3 linked regions of the Danio rerio genome follow. The protein of the gene in region 3 interacts with the protein of the main gene of each other region in a pairwise test. Links are inferred from orthologs where the notes say so. Each region holds a gene or a part of one and is shown on either strand. Other genes may lie near its edges.

Region 1 (4,258 bases), on a different chromosome or scaffold from region 3:
ATTGTATGCACGTTCGCTGTCTCATTGACAAATAAGTGTAGATTGTTCATATCCCAATAGGTGGCAGCAAACCCCTATATTTCATGCCATGACCCGTTTCCCAAAATCATCTTCTTTTTCTTAGTTTCCTATAAAAAATGCACACGTTTCTCATTCATTTCTTCGTGACAAACACCACAATTTTATTATTTTTTAATTCTGGATTAAAATATTTATTTAAATAGCAGGCTTTAAGATACATAGCATATATTTTAAACATAGGTGAACATCAAAACGCATCAAATATGTTCTTTCTGATCAATGAAAAAAGTCTCTGCGGATATCTGACGGATATTTGTTATCAGATTTGAAAAGTGTTAAAATGTTCACATAAAACCATGTCAAAATCTTCAATATTGACTCATTTATATATGCATTTTTATAAGTGTTGATTTAATGTAAAATATATATTCCTATCTTTTTTTAAAACTATCATTATGTTAAAGCAGACGGTGCTTGCTTGGAAAATAAAATAAAGACTATTAATTCAGTCACAGACTGTGATAATTAAATCACAAAAAGCAAGACATTTCATATCAATCTTTGATCTGAAATCTCCTTTATTAATATCAATATTTCAAGGCAGTGGCACACACACACACACAGACAGTACACACACGATGCATAACTCACTATACAGTATAACCTTCAATTGTTTTGCAATTAAAACATAAATGGGGAAAACGCACACAAGCAAATATTGTTACAGTAGCAGATCATCATTAAAATGACTAATATATCATCAAAATCAATAATAAAAGTACTGATGATTTAATTTCGAGGTTCATTTCAGTGAACTGCGAGTGTGTGAGGTGTTTAAGAATGCTGATTAATTTAATATAAAGTAAAATTTAATAAATGTGTTAAAATAAACATTGAATTAAGTTGATTTCGAATTATGGAAAAATAAAATAAAGCAACACCAAACATTTGACCCCATCTCTGTTATTCTGAACATCCTTCCACTTCGCTCGTCTTCAGATTTGTATAAACTATTTAAAAGTACAACGTTATTTATTTGTTATTCGTGTAAACAAACACAATACTTATTCCCTTTATTCATTTAATCACGAGTATAATTTCGGATTTCGCCATATCAATAAATAACAGTAGCATAACAATACAAATATGTCATAATCAAAATAAAAATGACTTCAGACTCGTACACACATCTCTCCAGCGAATGAAACCGGCTTGTCTTTCTTGATTTGGGTGTGTTTTGCAATGGCAATAAACAAAAACAAACTCCGTTAACTTTTAATGACTGCATTGTTTACCCAGCAGGTGGACACGACGTCACGTGGGGTCGCAGTACGCTAAAAAATAACAACATGCACGTCCGCGTAAGTGCCTCCCCGCATTGTAATAAGCTAGTCCTCCCCACCACCACCAAACTCGGCCGATACATTGCGATGTATTGAATCAAGATACAAAAAAACAAGCCGCCGCTTCGCGTTGCGCGTCATGCAAGCGCATTCAAACAGGAGTCGGTGTTACTCGGGCGTTTTTTTTTTTTACTGTTGCATCGGTAATAACAGCAGCACACACTGACTGAAGACAGCAGCGTCTCTGCACTCCGAGCGGAGGAATATCAACAGCGCGTGTTGTGCGTTTGTTTTCAGCGCTTTTTAAAAACACTCCGACTCGTAAACACGCAAAACTTTGCATCCCCGAAGGAGATACATTGACTTCTTTTGGTGAGTTTTCACGTTTATGGCTTTTTTATGCACTCGGCGTCTGAGTTTGAGTGCACTTAGAAGTTGCAGATGGCTTATTTAGTGCTTTATTTGTTGTTTTGACAGCGAGGTGTGTTGTTTGAGAGTTGCCGAGGACTCATAAATCCTCATAATCAATATTTACATCAAGTGACAGTTTGGGAGGATTTCATTTATGCGAGTGAATAATGCGGATTCACTTTTGTTGTGTTTGCATAGCTGTTTTATTTGAGTAAATTTGGGGTGATTTAAACACGCGATTTGTTATTGTTATTATATACTGTAGTAATAGCAAATAATAACACAATTAATGTCTGTTTTAACACTAGTGATTTTAGCCTGAGTCATGAAATGTAAATATGCACGATTCATTATTAGTATTATTACTCAAATTTCAAGGCGTTTGCATCTCTGTACAGTTACAGATTTCATATTTCAAGACCGTTTTCAAAGTTTTATTTATTTTAATGCAATTTTGGGTATTTATTATCATGTATGGAATTTTAGATTTGCCCTGTTTTTAATTTTGCAAGAAATTTAGATTTTTAACCATGATGTCTATATATCTATATCTCTATTGTAACTATATATATATATATATATATATATATATATATATATATATATATATATATATATATACACATACATACATACATATATGCGCATTTGAAATAAAAATTCTAAAATGCATAAATATTAAAAATAATAAATATGTCCTAAATATGTTTGCATTTAGTAATTCATATAATAAATAAATAAATAAATGAATATTATTTCTGATTTTTATTATCATTGTTTTTATTATTATTATTATTATTATTATTATTATTATTATCAAGGGTAACATTAATCTTACCGTGGTTGCTTGCTCCATTCCCATAATCCGGGGTGAATTCTTCCTAGCTTTAGAGCTGCTCGCATGCAGGAGCAGTGAGTGTCAGGACAGGAAGGCTGATGTATTGGAGTGTTAATGGACAGCTCTCCTCTTAAGCCTCAGCCACATCTACTGCCAGTGCACTTTCAGTGGCTTCAAGGGATGTGGGACTAAATCAATAGGGTAGGTGATCTTTGTCTTTTTTTTTTTTCTTTAAATACAAGGTGTATAGTATTACAGCTCCCATTATGGCAGTGATTAGCTATGAGATTTTTTTTTTTCCCCTGGTGTTGGTTGCAGGAGCACCTCAGTTTCACTCCGGCAGCTGTGCAGGTGAAGTGCAGGTGTGCATCATGCTGCTTCATCACTCAACGCCGTGGCTCTTCAAAGAGGCCGCGATAGCAGTAGTAAAAATTTTCACACACACGCGAACACACTTTGCTCTGTAACGTGAAGCCCGGCCCTTTGTTAGCCCCACGCAGTTCTTCCCAGGTGATTTTAATTAGCACTGTTTCAACGAGCAGTGTTTGGAGCGTGATGTTTCACGTACGACACACTGAGGGAGGGAAGGAGGGAGGCACGGCTGACCTGCGACAGGAAAGAGGGGCCTAATTTCCAAGTATCCCAATGTTTTTTTGTAGTCGCAGCCTGATTACGGCATTCATCATGGGATGGGGTGTGTGCACGCTCTGCTTTGCATTAAAAAAAAAACCTTTTGAGATGAATGCATGTGCGTCAAGTAAAATAAAATCATTTGTCTGAGTTATGATAGCACTGCAAGTTGAACACTGTGTAATGTGGGTGGGACCGTTTCATTGTTAGACATCTCAAGTTACTCTTTTTAATTATTTCATATTGAATCTTGAAGTCAGTGCTGATGACAAAAAAATAATAAAGGCAACCTCAGAAAGACAAAGGTTAGCTCATGTGACAGCAATGAGCAGTGTGAATAGTTATAGGTCATGCTTTTATTCATATGCTTTTATTAGGGGGAAATGTTTTATTGTTGGCAATCGCTAAAGTTAATCTTTCACTTTTCCATATTGCAATCACTATTGACCAGCCAAAACTGTTTTAGGGGGTTTTAAGAAAGGCAAACAACCTTAAAAAGCATAGATTAGATGTGTTTAATGTTAACATTGTACAAGTGATGCATTAACCCATGTGTTGAATTCTTGTAGGTTATGCTTTTGTTCATATTGAAAGAAATGTTGGGTACACTGGTATTGCATCTTTCAGTAATTGCTAAAAGCAACAATGACAAAGCTAACTAAACTATTTTAGGGCTTAAGAATAAAAATAAAAAGTTGTCTTTGACATTACAATAAGATGTAACATACACTCAAAAAAAGCTGTGTTTTTGCTCGTTTAAACTACTTGATTAAAATGAGCTGAAACAACACAATTGGGACAACTTAATGTTTTTATGTTCAATCCACATTAATTTGTTAAAAGTGTTAAGTTAACTTAATCGATTTGTGTTGGGTCCACATTACTGAATTGTGTGGAACCCTGCATTTTTGACAGTGTGCATGACTTTGTGTTAAATATGTTTGTAGTGCTTTTCCTCATTACTTTTTTCCATGTAATTGGAAGGTTTCATTGTTTGTTACTATATTTATTATTT
Region 2 (4,163 bases), on a different chromosome or scaffold from region 3:
GTTATATTATATTATATTATACTATATTATATTATATTATATTATATTATATTATATTATTTTATCATGTTTCCTTTTAACAGAAAATAAATATGACAAAGCAATATATATATATATATATATATATATATATATATATATATATATATATATATATATATATATATATATATATATATATATATATATATATGCGCACATAATTTTGCCATAAAAACAATAAATTAAATAAAAATATTAAAAATTAAATAAAAACATTAAACATTATTTGTGAGAAATTATTTTGTAATTAAACACAAACCTGTTTTCAAACTTTGGCTCAGGAACCCCAGTGAGCCACAAGAGATTACTATAGTGGTCTGTGAAAAAAAATATGAAAAAAGCATTGAAATAAATAAAATATACTAATCAAACAAATTCATAAAAGTAATATTCAGTTAAAATAATAACACTGTGGCACTGTGGCTCAGTGACTCGCCTCACAGCAAGAAGGTCACTGGTTTGAGTCCTGGCTGGGTCAGTAGGCATTTCTATGTGGATGGCATTTCTTCCCATGTTTGCATGGATTTCCTCTGTGTTGCTCCGTTTCACCCACAGTTCAAAGGCATGCAGTAGGTGAATTTAATTATAAATTGGCCATAGTGTATCTGCTTGAATGAGTGTGTATGGATGTTTCCGTGTACTGGGTTGCAGCTGGAAGGGCATCTGCTGTGTAAAACATATGCTGGATAAGTTGGTGGTTCATGTGGTGACCCCAGATCAATATAGGAAAATGAATGAATAAATAAAAATTACAAACACAAAGATTAAGTAAAATTTTGAAAAACCTAAACTTGTAAAAGAATAAACGAATGAACATATGAATAAAACAAATGAAATGCTGTAAATGCAGTATGGGCAATTATAATGCAAAGGAAAGATATAATAATGTAACTTTATCTAATTTAAATATTTTCCAATGGACATTTTAGACTAATTGATAATATAGTTCTTTAATAAGTGATAAATTAGGCCTTTATTCAAACATCTATAACCTTTAAAGCTTTTTTAAATTATACATTTTAGCTTAGAGGTGTTTTGTATAGTCTGTTGCGACTCAAAAACTTTATATATGAAATCTTTCTATATCTAATTACATATAATTATCATATTGTTATTAATATTATTGTTAAAAACAAAAAAAAATCGGTGCCATGGAAATGTCGCATTCCCACACCCATTCCCTCACTCTCTGTGAGTGTAGTGTGCACTTGCTGCTGCTGCATCACGTAGTAGTGTGTAGCACGAGAGGGAGGGGCGGGGTTTGTTCTGTGCACTTCGCTCGTGACCGCGCATCAGTCGCTGAGCCCAGGACGCGCGCACTCTGCTGCTCGTTCTTTGTCCTCCATTGCAGCTGGTGTTCACAGCTCCGCCGCACCGCGCAGGCCCGAAGTAGCGCAGCCGCTCTGAGGTTAGTGCCCTACCGCGCAATCTCCAGCCATTTCAGCCCTGGCGCAGCCGCACCAAACAACCCGGCAGCGTTTGCCTTTCACACACTCAGATGCAGATCGCGACGATGCGAAACAGAACTGCAGATGATTTCGAGCACTTTTGCCCGGATGGCAATTATTATTTACCCCGCTCAATTTGGGGCAAAAAAAGAATCATGGCGCAGGCGCGGGCCTTTGGCCTAACGTACTGAATTTAGATGTGCAATCGAATCGCTTATGTTTTTTGTCCAGATGCTAAATGGGATTTCAGTGCTTGATAGCTTGTGTCTATATGCTCGATCGCGGAATCGGATTTTGAATGCATGTATTATATCGCATTAGCTTAGCAATGTTATCGATCAGTCGAGTGTTTATATCGCTTTATTCTCAGTCAACAACGGTGCTCGCTTACATTTTATCTAAAAGAGCATTTTAGATGTTTAGCGCTTATCTCAATGATTGTGATCATTAAGAAGTTGAATGGGCGACAGTGTTTAATATTTTACCAACACACTGTCCCATTTCTTTACAGTAATATTTATTCACCATTTGAAAATAACCGCCATTTATGTGTTTGTTATTAATGCTCTAATACACCGGTCTGTATCGCTTCAGATATATTCAAACCTACCTTTTATTATGGCCGTTTATGTTTGTTGAAATGTTCTTTGGTATAATATATTAATGTTTTTTTTAATGATATGGTCATTAAAAGTACCTATTCCAGTGTTTGAGGTCGCTGAATTGAGCAGAATGAATTAGCTGCGTTAGCTTCTGGTTTACGTTATTTATCTTACGTTACGTGTGCACGTTATATACTAACGTTACATTCATAGCACATACGTTTTATTTAATTATTTTACATATGCTTTCGGTCTTAATTTAAACGATTAAAAAAACTATAAATAATATTGATTAGAAAGTTGTAATATGTTTGAACTACACTCCTTGCTGTCAGAGACTTCAATATTTTATTATTCAATAAAAACTTTAAAAAAGGTTTTTATTCTGTGTCGTTCAGTTTGTGTGTCATCTAAAAAACAAAATAACTTCTGGGTGTAAATAATCCTGATGTATTTTTTTTTAATGATTGCACATTGCAAAACTGTACTGATCGTGTATATATGCAGTTAACAACATTAAAAAAAATTGCTAATTATTTTAGGTGAATGCTAGGATGTCAGTATGTCTTACTCCATCTATATTTGCCAAACATTACTGTTTGTATATAAATAAAAAGTTAAATATAAGGGGGACGTATATTGATTTCAAGTAATCTTTTGTGCCCCCTACTGGATTGATTGTTTAAAACAATAATAATATTGAAGTCTGTGAAAATAAAATATACATTTACAACTTAGTTCATACACAATTGTACATTTGGTGATGAAAATAAACAATATTAAAGTTTATTTTTAGCTGAAACCAATGTTTTTGTCTATTGTCTATAGTATCAATTGATCATATACTAGTTACTAAACAGGCAAAACTAAATGAATACCTGTCGCTAATCACAAAACATTATGTTTTAAGAAGTAAAAGGAACCAGTTTTCTGTATTTATGTTCTCCATCCGTGCCTGATCCTATTTAAATTATGCTCCGTTTTAACCATAGTGTATTGTTAGCAGCCAAAGGGGATTCATTTAATTAACCAAATGTTTTAGCTTGATTTCGGACACATTTTGTCATTGCCCATTTCACCTGTATTGACCCAAAGTGAAATGTTTTGTTGTGCTGTTTTAATATACAAAACACATGAATCGCAATCGCGTCATATTAACGGTATACATTATAATAGGGATTCACAGTATATATTTATTAGTAAAATGCGAGTTTGTTATTATAATATAATGCAACGTGTCTCATATTTTATGTGTATTTTAAATGAAAATACAAATTACAATGCATGCCTAACACTTCACAACATACTCAGTTTGACACTTGAATACAACTATGAACGCAAGTCAATCTGTGTGCTAATATCTTGTTTGTGTGTGTGCGTGTCTCAGTGTGTTTGAGTGAAACTGTATCGGGTGATGGAAGACCATACGGTGCATCAGACGGAGCATATGACCACTATCGAGGCCCACGCCGTCTCTCAGCAGGTCGGGCAGGTGCACGTCGCCACATACACAGAGCATGGCATGCTGAGCGCCGACGAGGATTCGCCCTCCTCGCCTGACGATGATGCTTATGATGACTCCGACATCCTCAATTCAACTGGAACAGATGAAGTCACCGCACATCTGGCTGCTGCTGGTAGATTTCTGCACATGCTGCCTCTTATGAAAATTTACTTGTTTGAGTTAGTCTAATATATCATGCATCACAGATTCTGGGTTGAAAGGCTCAATCAGATGCCAAAAGCGAACAAATGGTACTAACACACACAAATATATTGTTGAAAGTCATATCCATGGTTATTCTCTGATGGTCAGACAGTGATTTCTCTTTTGTGATTGGCTAAAATATTGGTGTGTGGGATGCAGCAAATTCAGACACTAATGACTATTGACTTTAATAAATGATATGACTAAACTGGTCATAAATAGCAGCACAGTGACTGCTAGTGATTAGACAGACCACTAGATGGTGCACTTAAACCATAAATAGTCCTATAATGGGCTATATGCACACAGACTTTTAATATTCAGCTTGCCAGCCCTAGAGATTTCAGTCTTTCCATTACAAAA
Region 3 (4,402 bases):
AATTTTTGGGATTCTGTTTTTGTCTTACCTGATTGCTGGAACTGCTCTTCTGGACTCTAAACCGATCGCCATGGTCAACTCCTCTCTGCATCTTGAGCCTGCCGACGTACACGGTGAGCTGAGTGGACAAACGGGTTGCAGCGGGGAAGCAGGAGGGAAACAGCGTCACACCGCGCCGCAGCGTTCGCTTGAAAAAAATAAACGCGGCCGTACGTACCTGCCAGGACGTATTCCACTGTCTCCAGAAACGTCCACGGGACTACGTTTTCAGAATGAGCTTGGGTTGGATAATGTTTTATAACTCTCTGAAACTCACTCTTTTAGGGCTTGACGCCATTTCCTTTCGCGTTAACCAGCTGACCGATTACCTCTGTCCAGTGGCTCGCCTTGTACGCTGGTGGACCTGAGATGCAGAGAGTAGTTGACTGCGATTACGAGGTTCAAGTCTGGTGAAGAATGCTTACAGAAAGCAGGTAAAACAAAAACAGAAGCCAAAAATAAAATAAACAAGTTAATAACAGGGCGAGAATGTGGTCAAATCTGAAAATGTGGTAAAATCAGGCGGCCGTGAGGGCTTTTCTGTTTCTGCATTGCCTTTGAAAACACTGTCGGTTGGGTTTAGGGAAGAGGGTGATTGGGTCAATCGGTGCTTTTAAAAACACTCTCAGTTGGGTTCAGGAAAGGGGGTGAGTGGGATTATTTGTCGATCAGTCAGTCAGTCAGTCGACAGCGGCCTCTAGTAAATTTACGTGAGAACAGCAGGTGCGAGAGAAAATTAAGATTTAGCTGGGCCCCTATATGACAACATTTCTAGGATGTCGCGAATGTAAGTGAAAAGCTGGGTGTGGGGATGGGGGGTTGTCGCAAACAAAGTGAAGGGGGAGGGGTGCGGTGTTGCGGACGAAATTGAAGAGGGGAGTGGGAGGTGTCGCAGACAAAAGTGAAGAGCTGCAAACTGCAAAAAAAAAAAAAAAAAAAGTACCTCCATTTCGCTATCTCCAGAAATGTGTATACAGGGGTACGTATCAACAATGAGGTTTTGTTTTTTGGTTTATTGTTTTATTATTATTAATTCTAGCTCATTCTTGTTAAAGTTTAAAACGTGACTCTTTGTTTTCAAACAATGTTTTATATTTCCTTATAGTTTTCATTAGTATTTTTTATGCTCACACAAACAATATTAAAAGTTTAAATTTTTTTTTTCAAATAAATATAATACAAAAATGAAATAAAAATAAATTAAATAAATATAAAAATACAACTACTAATAAAAGCGAATATTGTAAATCATTATTATAGCACAAAATAATTATTATAACATAATATTATTACAATTAAAATAATGATCAGAAATCATTTTTATATGCTGATTTGAGTCTATTTTTTATATTATAATCAGTGTTAAAGTTGCGTTAAATAAATGCATTTTTTACCTTTAATTATTATAAATAATATTTGCTCAAGCTTGTTAAACCTTAAACTGTTTTATATTTTCTTACAGTTTTTATTAGTATTCTTTTATGTTTACACAAACATTATCATTAAACATTTTCATGTTTTTTTCAAATAAATATTATAAATATATATAAAATAAAAAAATATAACACAATAAGAATAAAACAAATAATGAAATAATGAAAACTAAAACCAGTAATATTGTAAATAATTCTTATAATTATGCAAAATATTATTATAATTAAAATAATGATCAGAAATCATTCTAATTTGTTGATTTGAGCCTAATTTCAAAATTAAACTTTTGCAATTTTTATTAAATAAATGCTTTTTTAAACTTTCTATTATAAATTTTAACACATTTAGCTGAAGCTTGTTAAAGTTTAAAACGTGGCTTTTCAACAATATTTTATATTTTCTTACTGTTTTTGTTAGTATTTTCTTATGTTTACACAAACAGTACCACTAAAAATAAATATTATACATATATCGAAAATAAAATAAACATAATACAATAAGCATAAATAAAATAAATATAGCTATTAATGAAAATTGAAAACCAGTAATATTGTAAATTTTTATTATTCATTCATTTTCCTTCAGCTTAGTCCCTTATTTATCAGGGGTCACCACAGCGAAACGAACCACCAACTATTCTGGCATATGTTTTACACAGGCGATGCCCTTCCAGGGGCAACCCAGTACTGTGAAAAATCATTATAACAGCCATGCATAATATTATTTTAATTAAAATAACGATCAGAAATCATTCAAATATGCTAATTTGAGCTTCATTTCATGTTATAATCAGTGTTAAAAGTCGTATGTTTATGCAATGCGGTGTTTGTGTGTCTTTATGTGTGTGTGTGCCTCTGTATATGTGCATCTGTGCGTGTGTATCTCTCTATTTGTGTATGTGCGTGTCTGTAATTTATTTTTATTTACATTTATTTTGAGGATTCTTTGATGTATAGAAAGTTCAAGAACAGCAGTGTTCGGTATCTCACCCTGAAATTTGCAATCCCGAGCAGCTTTAAATGCAGATTATATATGCACGAAATCAAAACACAGCAAAATCCGAACCTTCTTCATCTCTGCTCGTCTTCATTCCTGCGACTGAAGTGTAGACTGAGGCACACAAAGGCTTTCGGGCCCCCAGCAGGGCGGACGGGCCATCATTAACCCCTCACAGCAGGCCTCACGGGGCACACACAGACACACACATCTCCAGCATTGTGCCGGAGCGCTGGTGACAGAGCAAGTGCAGTGGTGTCCTGTGTGCCCCATGCTGGCATCTCAATCCACCACCAACCATGAAGAAGCCACACACATCTACAGAAGACTTCTCTGAACCTGCAGATAAACGCACAATAATGAACAATCATGATTACGTCACAATAATGTATAGCTTTAACCCTTGCGTACTGTGCAAATTGACTACCCTTTGGTTATGTTGGGGGCTATTTTTGCCCCATTGACTTTCATTATAATGACTTTTTTATTGCAAAGGCATGACAGCATTTAATCATAGAATCTTGATTGTTGGTGTTTTACCCTGTTGGGAAGAGGTTAAGTGTGTCATTTGTTCTGTTGATCATCAGCTGGCAGCATTAACCCTTTAGATAGGCCTGCATAAACAAGTGTATGGCTGTTATATGGAGTTCAGTGAAGTAAAACAGCAGATTATAGTGTGTGTGTGCAGAAATACACTTACTGTGTTTACTGTGTTCTGAGAGCTGAGCAGCTTATTTAGATTTATGTCAAGATAAGTGCGCAAATATCTCTCCTTCTCACAGACATTTAGCTTTTCTGTCATCTGCTTTTTAACACCCAGCCGAGAGACTTAGGGCCCTATCATACACCCGGCGCAGTGTGGCGCAAGGCGCAGTGCAATACTTGTTTGGTAGTTTCAGCTTGGTGCAAGAGTGGTTTTGATGCGTTGCGCTACGCTGTTTAAATAGCAAATGCATTAGCGCTCATATGTGCGCCCATAGGCGTTCTGGTCTAAAAAGGAAGGCGTTCTGAGGTGGACCGCTGACGCGTTGCTATTTTGAGAATCTATAATAGATTTTTCATTAGACCAAAACTAACCCGGTCTAAACTCCAGCGCAGAGTTGCGCCTAGCTTACACACTGCTTAATACACACAAGAGAGCAATAGGCAAATATCTTTACATATGAAAAAATTCAATATTAAGGATATATATAGGATATAATAAGAATAGATATAGAATATAAATATAAAGGATTAAAATATTACAAAACATATTATTTTCTAGCCTACATAAATATGAAAAATCACTGCTTTAATGTTTTCTTCATCTCGGGAGGCTTTTTCAGTTCATTCATAACAATTTGCTTTTGTATAATGTTATTGTTATTAGCAGTATTATTTATTATATCCATATTTATATTTGTTTTATTAAAAACAGGCTTAGATTTGCCCACACGTCAGGTTTTAGATCATATTGTTCATTTATTCGTTTGCTGGAAATTAGAACTGAATTTAGAAATAGTTTTGAAACGAATATTTGCGCTTAACAAACAAAATTATTTATTTATAGACTAATTGATGTCTGTGCGTAAAGGTTTCCCTATCCAAGAGCGAAAGTGAAAGTAGATCCATTATCTCTCATTCTCACGCAGTAGATGCTCTGTTTAACAGTTTTCTGTTAAAAAACTGTGAACTGTGAACTGTTTGCTTGTGAAATGCTCAGTTTTTCCACTTAGACTTACTTTGCGTCCTGTAAATAGTGAATGCGCTCTTGGCGTGACGCAGCTGACTCTTAAAGGGAATGGGAGATGAGACTGTAATTGGTTTATTCTCAAAACACACCTATAACTCATTAAGAAAATAAACTCAACCCTTTTAGACCATGCGCCACGGCGCAAAGCGGATTTTCCCGTCCTTAATTTAGCAAAAATGCGTCCTGACATGCCCTGAAAGC

Evidence for each region.
Region 1: the proteins of sp4 (region 3) and foxp2 interact in a two-hybrid assay, tested with the Homo sapiens proteins (2 studies listed by BioGRID). The link is inferred for Danio rerio from reciprocal best matches to the Homo sapiens genes SP4 and FOXP2.
Region 2: the proteins of sp4 (region 3) and nrf1 interact in binary tests that used the Homo sapiens proteins (3 or more experiments, as listed by UniProt). The two-hybrid records come from large-scale screens. The link is inferred for Danio rerio from reciprocal best matches to the Homo sapiens genes SP4 and NRF1.

What each region holds. Positions count from the first base shown.
Region 1 is NC_133179.1:7,038,384-7,042,641, reverse strand, and holds the start of foxp2 (forkhead box protein P2), read left to right. Parts: upstream 1-1,450; 5' UTR 1,451-1,736; intron 1,737-2,613; coding exon of another isoform or gene 2,614-2,678; exon of another isoform or gene 2,679-3,105; intron 3,106-4,258. UniProt on the Homo sapiens protein: Transcriptional repressor that may play a role in the specification and differentiation of lung epithelium. May also play a role in developing neural, gastrointestinal and cardiovascular tissues.
Region 2 is NC_133179.1:15,683,901-15,688,063, reverse strand, and holds the start of nrf1 (nuclear respiratory factor 1), read left to right. Parts: upstream 1-1,355; 5' UTR 1,356-1,450; intron 1,451-3,479; 5' UTR 3,480-3,506; coding exon 3,507-3,729; intron 3,730-4,163. UniProt on the Homo sapiens protein: Transcription factor that activates the expression of the EIF2S1 (EIF2-alpha) gene. Links the transcriptional modulation of key metabolic genes to cellular growth and development.
Region 3 is NC_133194.1:2,839,237-2,843,638, reverse strand, and holds the start of sp4 (transcription factor Sp4), read right to left. Parts: upstream 2,809-4,402; 5' UTR 2,564-2,808; coding exon 2,539-2,563; intron 1-2,538. UniProt on the Homo sapiens protein: Binds to GT and GC boxes promoters elements. Probable transcriptional activator.